Macaca fascicularis: one gene and its partners. The main gene of each other region encodes a partner of the protein of the gene in region 2 in a complex. Links are inferred from orthologs where the notes say so. Each region holds a gene or a part of one and is shown on either strand. Other genes may lie near its edges.

The links. Proteins that work in one complex are often made in the same cells at the same time.
Region 1: MED23 (region 2) and MED4 share a complex: the UniProt entries of both Homo sapiens proteins name them as parts of the mediator complex. The link is inferred for Macaca fascicularis from reciprocal best matches to the Homo sapiens genes MED23 and MED4.
Region 3: MED23 (region 2) and MED31 share a complex: the UniProt entries of both Homo sapiens proteins name them as parts of the mediator complex. The link is inferred for Macaca fascicularis from reciprocal best matches to the Homo sapiens genes MED23 and MED31.

Annotation. Positions count from the first base shown.
Region 1 is NC_088391.1:27,212,680-27,216,707, reverse strand, and holds the start of MED4 (mediator of RNA polymerase II transcription subunit 4), read left to right. Parts: upstream 1-1,224; 5' UTR 1,225-1,250; coding exon 1,251-1,375; intron 1,376-4,028. UniProt on the Homo sapiens protein: Component of the Mediator complex, a coactivator involved in the regulated transcription of nearly all RNA polymerase II-dependent genes.
Region 2 is NC_088378.1:35,602,940-35,606,973, forward strand, and holds the start of MED23 (mediator of RNA polymerase II transcription subunit 23), read right to left. Parts: upstream 2,811-4,034; 5' UTR 2,623-2,810; coding exon 2,584-2,622; exon of another isoform or gene 2,367-2,583; intron 2,242-2,366; coding exon 2,210-2,241; intron 2,053-2,209; coding exon 1,965-2,052; intron 1-1,964. UniProt on the Homo sapiens protein: Required for transcriptional activation subsequent to the assembly of the pre-initiation complex. Component of the Mediator complex, a coactivator involved in the regulated transcription of nearly all RNA polymerase II-dependent genes.
Region 3 is NC_088390.1:6,692,432-6,696,530, forward strand, and holds the start of MED31 (mediator of RNA polymerase II transcription subunit 31), read right to left. Parts: upstream 2,805-4,099; 5' UTR 2,752-2,804; coding exon 2,724-2,751; intron 1,938-2,723; coding exon 1,860-1,937; intron 1,581-1,859; coding exon 1,484-1,580; intron 1-1,483. Other genes in the region: C16H17orf100 (uncharacterized protein C17orf100 homolog), read left to right, coding at 3,136-3,492. UniProt on the Homo sapiens protein: Component of the Mediator complex, a coactivator involved in the regulated transcription of nearly all RNA polymerase II-dependent genes.

The DNA of each region.
Region 1 (4,028 bases), on a different chromosome or scaffold from region 2:
TGCAGTGGCCGGATCTCAGCTCACTGCAAGCTCCGCCTCCCGGATTTACACCATTCTCCTGCCTCAGCCTCCCGAGTAGCTGGGACTACAGGCGCCTGCCACCTTGCCCGGCTAGTTTCTTGTATTTTTTAGTAGAGACGGGGTTTCACCGTGTTAGCCAGGATAGTCTCGATCTCCTGACCTCGTGATCCGCCCATCTCGGCCTCCCAAAGTGCTGGGATTACAGGCTTGAGCCACCGCGCAGGGCCGCTATGAGTGAGTTTATTTAACACGAATTTCTGAAAGACTTGTCAACTCTGGGTGCCCAGGAGTCAAGTTTAGCACCTCCAAAAAGAGCAGAGGATGAGACCATGAAATGAAAGGACCACAGGTACGACTGCCTCATGGGAGTCAGGCAGTCCCCGACCGTCTTTTATAATAATGTAGACCATTATGTGATTCCCTCAAAGTCTTAAAAACCACTTCATAGAAGCTTCTCATTGCTGCTTGAAAAACATCATGCCCAGGGCCGGGCACGGTGGCTCACGTCTATAATCTCAGCACTTTGGGAGGCCGAGGTGGGCAGATCTATTGAAGTCAGGAGTTCGAGACCAGCCTCGCCAACATAGCGAAACCCTGTCTGTACTAAAAATACAAAAATTAGCCGGGCGAGGTGGCACACGCCTGTAATCTTAGCTATTCGGTAGACTGAGGCAGGAGAATATCTTGAACCCGAGAGGCGGAGGTTGTAGTCAGCCGAGATTGCGACAATGCACTCCAGTCTGGGCAACAGAGCGAGACTCGTCTCAAAAAAAGAGGAAAGACGGAAGGAAGGAAGGAAGGAAGGAAGGAAGGAAGGAAGGAAGGAAGGAAGGAAGGAAGGAAGGGAGGGAGGGAGGGAGGGAGGGAGGGAGGGAGGGAGGGAGGGAAAGAAAGAAAGAAAAAACAAAACATTAGGCCCAGGAGAATCAGACTGCGGAAGGAAGGAAAAGAAAGAAAAAACAAAACATTAGGCCCAGGAGAATCAGACTGCATTGCACTCCCTGTTCTCAGTTCAGCCCTTGCTCCCAGGGTTTGGACCCAAAAGCCCTCGCTGGCCCAGCAGATGGCGCCGGTGCCCGCAGTGCGCCCCTCCGGGCGCAAAGGGGGCGCCCTCGCCGGGCCTCTTCTTCCTCTCCTGGATGACTCTTCCGCCTTCCGAGCCCGCCTCCTCGCCACGCCCCTGCGTCAGCGCGCTCAGCGCGTGCGCCGGCGGCGGGGCTGTGAGGAAAATGGCTGCGTCTTCGAGTGGTGAGAAGGAGAAAGAGAGGCTGGGAGGCGGCTTGGGAGTGGCAAGTGGTAACAGCACACGAGAGCGGCTACTGTCTGCGCTTGAGGATTTGGAGGTCCTGTCTAGGTAATGCTGCGATCCTGAGAGCCGGGCTGGAGCTAGGCCGGGGGACTGACCCCCGGAGCCGGCCGGCCCAGCGTTTGTGCTCGTTCTCGGGGTTCGGCGGGGAGGGCCAGCTCGGGAGTTTCGGGTGCACCAGGGTCACGGACGTGGGGTCCGCAGTCTTCCAGCACTCTGGACGGCGGTTTTTCCCGTTAGAGGGAATTTTAGTAATGATAAGAACTCGCGCGGTCTGAGCCCCTTCGTCCACAGCCAGCCACTTAACATTTATGGAACGCCCCTTGGGTGCCAAGCACTAGGGAGACAGTAGTGCAGGGTAGGCTGAATGCCGGCTGTCGAGAGAGAGAGACAGATGTGTAAACTGCCTTGAAGCCTGTTTTTATTAGAGCGCTGCGCTGCGGGGTACTGGAGCACAGGGGCTAGGCACCTTTTCTGGTTGTAATCAGGGCAGGCCCTCTGAAGAAACGGCTGTTTGGGAAGCGTGAGCTTGCCAGACTCACTAGGCAGCACAGGTAGATGGAACAGCAAGTGCAAAAAGCCTGGCTTGGTGGAGTTGCAAGTTTTGTATCAGAGATAGGAGATGAAATTAAATGTCATTCTTTATATTCTGTCACCTTTCATGATAAGTCAAGTTGAAGCCTTCCTTGACTCCCTCCCATTGACGTGGATGGTAAATTATCTTGGTTCTACCTCCTAAAATGTTGCTCACATTTGTCCTCTCGTTCCTACCCCACTGTTCATAACTACTCTTAAATGCAGCCTCCCAGTTTTAATTGCCTCATGCTTCTGCACTGTATCCTTTTATATTGGCCAAGATCAGTTTTAAAAGGCATGTTATATTACTTTTCTGCAGAAAAATGATATAAAACCTACCTCATTGGTAGATTTGCGTTGTCCAGTGAGGTAAAGTTCAAATTCTTTAGTCAGGCTTCCACATCTTCAATGCCATTCCCAATCTTCCCCCGATTTGGTGAATGATTCATATATCCTTCAGATTCCAGCCCAAATGTCACTTTTTCTGTAGCCAACATTCTTTGACAACTTTAGAATAAATCTTATCTGTTGTATTTTAAAATATACCTGATATAATCAGCACTTTATCTTTGGTGTAAATTTAGTCCTTGCCATAGTATTGCTACCAAGTTACCAGGTCAGCACAATATTTAATGATGGAAGAAAACCCTAAAACAAATAGACTCCAGAAATTAAATGACTTATGTGTTTGATCCACTGTTTAAAATAAACTGTATTATGGCCGGGTGTGGTGGCTCACGCCTGTAATCCCAACACTTTGGGAGGCCGAGGCGAGCGGATCATTGGAATTTCTTCACAGAATGAAGCTGCTCTGGTGGTGTGACTGGCTTCCAGAAAAGTCTCATGTGCTCACTCAGACATAGTTATGTGTGCTGATTCTGTGATCTGTGTAATTTGTCAGTCTCTGAATGTAATTTGTGTCTGGCTTGCATTTATGGAAATGAGAAGAAAATTCACGAATGTACCTTACATATTTTTAGGTTGAGCCTCTTGGCTTTAAAAAATAGTGGATTTATAACTTAGGATCTTTTTTTTTTTTCTATTAACCTGATTATGTACCCTTTCAGGATATTTATTACTTTGTAAAATGTAATGCAAGGAGACAGTCTTAAACAATTGAAACACAGGTTGTAGTCTAAACGTTTTTCTTAACCCGTTTGTAACTGAAAACTCACGGAATCATGTTGATAGGAGTCTTGAGGTTTCCACACCAGCCTGTTAATTCTCTTTACCTGAAAAGTGTATTACCACTAATAATGTAGGCTCTAACCCCTATGGAAATTTTATTTCTATGGGGAATTGTGGCTGGATTCTAATGCAGTATGCCAGGAATGCACCTTCCTTGTAGCAGGACAGGGCTCTTACTTCCACATCTTTAACCAGAGAGTGAGTATGGGCCTTCCTTTGGCCTCTTTTTCACAAATGGGGAGGACAGAGGTTTCTACTTCGTCTTGGACTGTTACAGAACATGACTAAGTCTTAGAGACTTCTACCTCCCCTCTACTCCTGTGTCAGAGACTTCTACCTCACCTGTACTCCTGTGCCTATGGCAAGCCTTGTAAAGCCTTCTGTGGACTCATACTCCCAGATTTGCAAGAACAGAGGAAGGCTTATCCCACATCTCCTACCATAGCCCCACTCCAGTCAGCACCACCCCTGCCCCACCTGAAACCAGCTTTTACTTAGACTAGAGGTTCTCAACAGTTTGTGTCTCAGTGGCATACACGAAAAAGTTTACGTAACATGCTGTTTTCATACACTGTTGATCCATCAGCAAGTCCTGATAGCTCTACCTCCAAAAGATATCTGAAATCTGTCTATGTTTCTCCCATCACCATTACTAAGTCCTGGAGGCTATGACCTAGTCAAAACCAGTCATTTTTTGCCTGGAACACTACAAAAACCACCTGTTCTGGCCCTTTTACAGTCTATTTACCAAATCGCTCAGCAGTTTTTAAAAGTGTAAATCAGGTCATGCCTTTTCCCTGTTTAAAATGATCCAGTGGCTTTTCATTGAATATGGAACGAAACATTAATCTTTACCATAACTGTAAGGTCCTACATAATCTTACCCCTAGCCACCTGGCTGCTATATCCTCACTTTGCTTTCCTCTCCCCAGTGTAC
Region 2 (4,034 bases):
AAAGAAACTACCATCAGAGTGAACAGGCAACCTACAGAATGGGAGAACATTTTTGCAATCTACTCATCTGACAAAGGGCTAATATCCAGAACCTACAAAGAACTCAAACAAATTTACAAGAAAAAAACAACCCCATCAAAAAGTGGGCAAAGGATATGAACAGACATTTCTCAAAAGAAGACATTCATACAGACAACAGACACATGAAAAAATGCTCATCATCACTGGCCATCAGAGAAATGCAAATCAAAACCACAATGAGATACCATCTCACACCAGTTAGAATGGCGATCATTAAAAAGTCAGGAAACAACAGGTGCTGGAGAGGATGTGGAGAAAAAGGAACACTTTTACACTGTTGGTGGGATTGTAAACTAGTTCAACCATTATGGAAAACAGTATGGCGATTCCTCAAGGATCTAGAACTAGATGTACCATATGACCCAGCCATCCCATTACTGGGTATATACCCAAAGGATTATAAATCATGCTGCTATAAAGACACATGCACACATATGTTTATTGCGGCACTATTCACAATAGCAAAGACTTGGAATCAACCCAAATGTCCATCAGTGACAGACTGGATTAAGAAAATGTGGCACATATACACCATGGAATACTATGCAGCCATAAAAAAGGATGAGTTTGTGTCCCTTGTAGGGACATGGATGCAGCTGGAAACCATCATTCTCAGCAGACTATCACAAGAACAGAAAACCAAACACTGCATGTTCTCACTCATAGGTGGGAACTGAACAATGAGATCACTTGGACTCGGGAAGGGGGACATCACACACCGGGGCCTATCATGGGGAGGGGGGAGGGGGGAGAGATTGCATTGGGAGTTATACTTGATGTAAATGACGAGTTGATGGGTGCAGCACACCAACATGGCACAAGTATACATATGTAACAAACCTGCACGTTGTGCACATGTACCCTAGAACTTAAAGTATAATAATAATAAATAAATTAATTAATTAAAAAAATAAAAAATAACAAGAAAGGAAGGAACAAGTAACTCTTGGACTGATAGGGAATTACCTTTAGATTATTATTAGGAGGAAAAAAGTGCTAATTAATTAACAGTGTACATGGTATATGATCATGCTATAAAAGTGTTTCTATACGCATAAAATACTTCTAGAAGAAAACATAACTTGAGGATATTGGCTAGAGACAGAAAAAAGAACAGGTAAGAGAAGAGAGAGACTAGTTATTGGATCCACCCTTTTTATACCTGTGCATTTTGAACCATATGAATGTATTACCTATTAGAAAATAATTAAACAAAAGGTTAAAACATGACTGTATTAGCAGTATATGATCCATGTCTGGAGTGGCAAATCTTATCACCAGTGGCTGACACACAGTTCTCATTTCCCTACCCATAATACACCATGAGAAGGTAAGGCACTACTGGAATGTGAGCTCTTCGAGGATGACACATTTTGTCTTTTTTACGGATACATTTTCTGGTAGCTGTTCTTTGTTACTTTTACAGTTTGTTTCCTCATTTTTACTATAATATCTTCCTATCGTTATTATAGAATCTTGGTATTCCTATTGTAGCATCTTTGTATCAATGCTGTGCCAATTCCTTTATTAAGTAAAACAAATGGAATGTGTATCTTTGACAAGTAAAGCTTAACACATCTGTTTTCAAGTGTACCAAATAAATCCGAATAGGATGAAAATGATCTTAATTAATCTAACATAGGGGAGTTTTTTTCTTTTTAACGTTGCACACTGTGCAGTATCAACTTGACTTCTCAACATAGGTTTTCCACCGAAATATACAAATTAAAACAAACGTAAGCCAGAATAAAAAATGATGACAATTTTATTTCTTCCTTCTCAGGAAGATCTTAAGAGCAACATCAAAGTAAATGTTAAAGGAAAAAAAAAAAAAGAAGGGGGCAAAAATCATCAGCTGAATGTATTAAAAATGAAGTGCTCACCTGAGAAAGACCACCCCAAAACTGTCTGAAGGCACCCAAACAGCTAATTAGTTTTGTTTTCTCATCTTCAGGAGTATCCATAAACATGCTAAAAAAATAAAAATTACATTATTTGTCATTCGTTTTAAAAAGGTAATTACACACAATCAGAATAGTGGATCTTAGAACCTTCCAACACGAAACTAAGTAAAATCTGACAGATACAATCACATGAAAACACAAAAATCCGCCACGCATACACTCACCCAGGAAAAGCCTCTTCTATAACTTCCGTTTTCTGTAAAAAAAAAACAAACAAACAAAATGTAAACAATGTTAATTTTTAAAAGGCGCCTCCCTTAGCCAAGTATTACAATGTAACACAGGACAAGTCACCTTAATCAGCTCTGAAACTATCAATACCTGTCGGGCCTGTCACTGTATCGATTTCAAAGGATACAATGAACTTGACAGCAGTTTGAGAATCACTAAACCTCCCCGCACACAACCTCGATGTCAAAACAAGAGAATAAAAAGGGAAGCGTGAGACGAAGTTGCCCGGGCCAGCTTCCTTGGTCTGCTGCCCCCGCGTCTACCCGTCCCCGAGCCGTAGTCCTGGATGGCCGGCAGCTGCACTCACCACCACCTCTTCGAAAATGCTCTGCAGTTGCGTCTCCATCTGTACTATTACCCCCGCCTTTCCGGGGTGCCCGGTAAGGCCCGGGTCAGACCCGAGCTCTGGGAATATATGGGGCGAGGGTCGGAGACCGCCGGAGGAAACCGTAGCTCTCCGACGTCGCTTCCCTCCCCCAGTGCTTTACCGGGGAGCCTTCCCTCCGCAGCCCAACCAACTGGAGGAACCTGTACGGAAGACCGGAAGGGCCCGGTACGCTCTGTTTGCAAACCCCGCAGAAACCAGCGGCGCCGCCAGACGGTTCCGTCTGTGGAGAAGGGCAGCCCGCAAGCCGGACGAGAGCGCCCCCAAACGGAACCTTGAGCCCAAGGACCCCGGAGGCGTCATCGACCGCAGGCCGCCACCTCCCGGCTGGAGAAGGAGTTGCTTCCTGCTCGGGACTAACCCGTTTGCAGACTGGGAAATGAAAAGCTTGAAACCCAGAGGCTGCAGCCTGCGGAAAATGCTGGAGCCGCAGCTGATGTCTGTGAGCAGCTGACCTTCTGGACCTCCATCAGCGGCCTGCAGCCAGGAGCTGAAGCCACAGAGACGGTGCTTGTCAGCTATGATAACCTCAGTGCAAATGTGATTGACTGACTTTTGAATGCCAAACCAATTTTGCTTCTATGGTATAAATGCTACTTGGTCATAATATATTATCCTTTTAAATGTATTGCTGGATTCTATTGGCAATATTGTTGAGAATACGTGTTTTTCTTCATATGCCACCGTCATCACCAACCCCTAAAACATCTGTTATGCCTTTTCGATGATCAGCTTTCTTTACCTCAAAAAGAAAATTGTTGATGAGGGTCATAGACATGCAAAGGGCCTTTCACTTCTTTGTGAAATGCCACAAACTGCTAAGCATGAACTACTCCTTTGTAGCTGCTAAGTGATGAGCTGATGAGTCCCCATTAGTGGTTTTGTTATACAAGTCTCTGACCTGGCATAAATTTAGTTTTCTAACAACTTTAACATGCACATGCAACCATCGTTGCCCACACAATAGCTACTAAAAGCTTAAAAGAAATAATTCAGATTCCCTGCTGGAGAAAAACTTGAAGAGTTAGGCTTCGTATATTGTTTGCTAGGGTTGCCATAACAAAATGCCACAGACTGGGTGGCTTAAACAACAGAAATTTCTTTTCTTGTAATTCTGGAGGCTAGAAGTCTGAGGTTGAGGTTGGTAGGGTTACTTTCTATAGAGCCCTCTGTCCTTGGCTTGTAGATGACCTTCTTCTCCTTGTGTCTTCACGTGGTCTTTCCTTTGTACATGGCTGTGTCCTAATTTTCTCTTCCTAGTAGGACACCAGTCAGGTTAGGGCCCATATAGCTACTCTAAAGAGCTTTAGTTCAGTTGAAGAAGTAGACATTTTAAACCGTAATATAGTGTAATATGTGCAATACTAGTGGTG
Region 3 (4,099 bases), on a different chromosome or scaffold from region 2:
TCAAATGTTGGCAAGTATTAAAAAAAAAAACAAAACTAAAATCTTCTGCAGACTGAATAAAATGCCCAAAAGGGGCTAATCTGCAATCTCTCTTGAATGTAAGTATCTGGAAGGTTGTTGTCCTCAAGAGGGTATAGAATGGTTCTAGCTCAATCCAGGGACAACCAAGTTATCAAAATTAATGTCACCAGTAGTGGGACAAATAGACTTCATGTGACTGCAGATAGATGAAGGATAACACTACAATCAGACTAGAGCTACAAGGAGAGACATTATATCACAATATAAGGAATAACTTTCTACCATCTGGCTAACAGTCAAATCAGCTGTCCCTGACAGAGTAACATGGGCTCAGTGAAAACCTCCAGAGGGTAGGTGACCATCTCTCGGCAACGCTGTGGGTAAGATTAAACGTGTTGGTGGCTGAGGCTTCCAACACTGAGTCTGTAAATCTACATACATACAACATTTGTTGAAATCTATTTTTCTTAAAAGTCTTTTCTTTGGATTATTAAATGGATAAAAAGCCAGAAAAGGTGCAAAGGGTCCTGCAGGCAATATAAGATGTATATGCTTCGTGAGTCAATTGTTATTGGACACAGAAAAGTGACTTCGAAACAAGTTTGAAACATTTTCCTCTCAAACTTTTTTTTTTTTAAGGTTCACTATTGCTTTCTACCTGCTTAACACAAAGCAGGGATGAGTTCAAGGTGTTGTTTTTTTTTTTTTTTTTTAATCATTAAAAGGGAATAGGTTTGTGGTTATATGCTTCTTGCAATTCAGTAAGCCTTAACACGAAAGTGTCGCTGAATGACCTGAATGGTAAATATATATATATATATATATAAATGAGTTAATGCATATGAAGCATTTAGCACTGTTTCTGGCACATAAGAGGCCTTAAATAAAAGATAGCAACTCTAAGACTCAGGTTAAGATCACCTCCTCCAAATAACCCCAGAAACACCTTCCTTACAGATACCCTCTTTTAATTTCAGCCCATGGCTTATGTCACTTCATTTACAGACTGTGAGTTCTTCGGGACCAGAAACCTGGTGAGATGGGGAGGGTGGTGAAAGACAAGGTCAGACAAGGCAGGGCCAGATCATATAGGGCTTTAGCCCAAGAAAAGAGACTGGATTTTATTCTGCATGGTATGGAAAGTCATGGAAAGGTTCTAAGCAAGAAAGTAAAGTGTTCTGATTTATATTTTTAAATGACTAAGTTGGTTTCTGTGTAGAAAGCTGTTTTGCTTGGTTTGGTTTGGGGTGGAGGGGGGGCAGGAAGGTAAAAGTGGAAGCAGAGATAACCAGGGAGTAGATTACTGCAGTGATACAAGTTAGAGATGAGACTGTCTTGTGTTAAGATGGTGACAACGAAAAGAAGTGGAGAGATTCCAAATACATTTTTGCCAATGTGAAACGAAGAAATCTATCATATCATAAAGTATACACATGCTTAGGATTATAAAAATTAAACTTACTTTAGATACTTGGCATATTCTGGGTCTTTCCAGTAAAGCAAGTATTTAAGATAATTAACAAAAGCTTTGTCTTTGAAGTAACCTCTTTGGGCAAGAACTGAAAAGCATTAAAAAAAAAAATGTCTGTAGGTCAAACCAATCTTTAAACTATGCTTTGTTACCCCTAATGTAAAGGATCTATTTACATAAAACCCCCACCACCAACACACATTGAATTCAAAACACAAATCCCAGTGCGCAATTATATCTATATACCAGCATAAGTGTAATATCATTCAATTGAGAATGTGTAAAAGTAGATACTATTTTGAATTGCAACTCTTCTGTCAGAAATCATTAGTAGCTACTCAATTTAATGAGGTGCTTAACAACTTACAATTAAGGTAATTTGGGTTGGCTAAACATTGCACAAATTCCAACTCCAACTGAAACCGAAGTCGATTTCCAGCATCATCTAGGAGACAAGACAGCAAAAATCATGGAAAGTAAGGGTCACTGTATATAATACTGATTTGCAGTAAGGAAACAGCAATAAAGAAACCTGACTAATGCCGAGATGGTCTTCCTAAACTGGGAGTTGGGGGAGATAAACCTTTCTTCGAAATCTAAGAAAAGCGGAGCCCTGATTAAAAGGAGTTAGAAGTTTCTCTAAAATTAAAGAGAAATCATCAAAGAAAGCAGCAACACAAACGGAGAATTCCTAAGATCACTAAGGTAGGCTGTAACAACTATGGCTTCCCCTATGTTAATAATGCGTTATAACAATTGTTAACAGTGATTAAGTTTTGCAAAAGCTACGTGCTGAATCAGTTAAGAAAAAGTTAGGATGCAAGAGACTGCGTAGAGCCTAAAAGATCATGGAGCGTATGCATATAAGAAGCACCAGTAGCAGAATGACACATAAAGTCCGGCGACGATATTTCAAACTTAGGCAAGCTCATGTGAGAAGCAGAAAACCAATCAAGGAGGAGACGGTTTAACACACAAGTCCTCTCCCTTAGTCTCACCCACGCCGGGGAGCTGGTAGGGTGGTGTCTGAATAGCAAAGATGTGCGAACAAACCAAATTAGGAAAACTGCAAAGAGTACCTTAGTCTTTCTAGAAGCTACAAGAGCCTTCTCACCTCCTTGTCCAAATATTAACCCTGCCGAGATTAAGGCCTGGAAGGAGGCCACGGGGAAGCCGTCTGGACCGAGGGGAGTTCCATCTGCGAAGACTCCAAGATCAGAGAGCTACTCACCTGTCTCCATAGCGACGGCAGCGGCCATAACAAACGAAGACACCAAAACGCCACCAGCCTGACCGAGCAAAAGCCCAGAGTGGCGGGGGAAGTTCCGGAAACCACGGCTCTCTCTTCCGGTCCCGGGGCACTGTGGGATATGGGGCCGGGCGGCTCCGCCCATCCCGCCAGCCCTGGGATGGCTCCACCCGCGCTGGCTTCAAAATAGCGAGCGGGCGGGGCCCGGGCCGTGGGAGCGCCTGAGGGGCAGGAGCCCAGTGTTTTTAGCCTTGGAAGGATCATGGTGTTTCCACGTCATCGTGTTGTGGCGCTCCCGGCTATGGCAGTACCGTAGTTTTCCTCTCTTCTGCCTGCGGTGACCGTTGGGCTGGGGGGTGCCCCGAGGCCTCCTTGGCCCCCTCACGCCGGCAGAATGGCCTCAGCCCGAGGGGCCAAGCAGTCTTCTCCCCGGGTGGGGACCACCCGCTACACAGAGACGTCCACAGTCCGCGTGGAGACCTCGTCCCACCGCGTGGAGACGTCGTCCCGGCGGGTGGAGACCTCCCAGCGCCGCAGCGAGGGGCCCTCCCTCTCCCCCTTGGGGAAGCGGCTCCCTGGCATCCTCGAGGCGTCCTCCCGGCACGTGGAATCCTCCTCGCAGCGCACGGAAACGACCTCCCGCCACATCAGGGCCTCGTCCCTGAGGGTGGAGACGGCTCTGCACTGCGCGGAGAGCCCAGCCCCGCGGGCCAAGCCGGCCGCCCGCCAGAACGAAAAACCGGCCCGATGAGATGCTGCTTCCCAAAGGCCACCAAGGGGCCAGGGCCCTCAGCCAGGACAGAAAGGCCTCCAGTTGCCAGCCAGCTGCCAGGTGGACCAATCATTTTCGGTTTCATGGAAACAAACCATAAATCAATGGAAGAAACAGCCAAGCCGCAGTTTCTGAACACAGCCAACGTTTATTGACCATCCTGCGTCTTGGACCAGCCTACTTTTGACCCAGTGAACTATTTTCACTTGAAGCCAGCACAAAAGATTTTCATGCCCAGGATGCTGTCTAAATTGGCTTGATGGACAAAGAGGCTGTTTGAGCCTCTGAGCCAGGTGAGTTTGGGATCCACAGCCCTCAGAAGACCTTCACCCCTTAGGAACAGAGACCAAACTGAAATCATGACCTGTGGAATGATTCCATGCCTGCTAGAAACTTGAGGGGCAAGGAACAGACTCATAAATTATTAATGGCCTTTGTTTATGTTTCAAGGTAACTGGTGGTTTTCTTTATGCTAACTAAGTCTTTGTACCTGGCACTCCCATCCATACACTTTTTAAAGGTAGGTTAGATGTAGTTAAAAATGACAGTAAACCCACTAGCAAGCAAAAATAATCTTAGAAGAGAA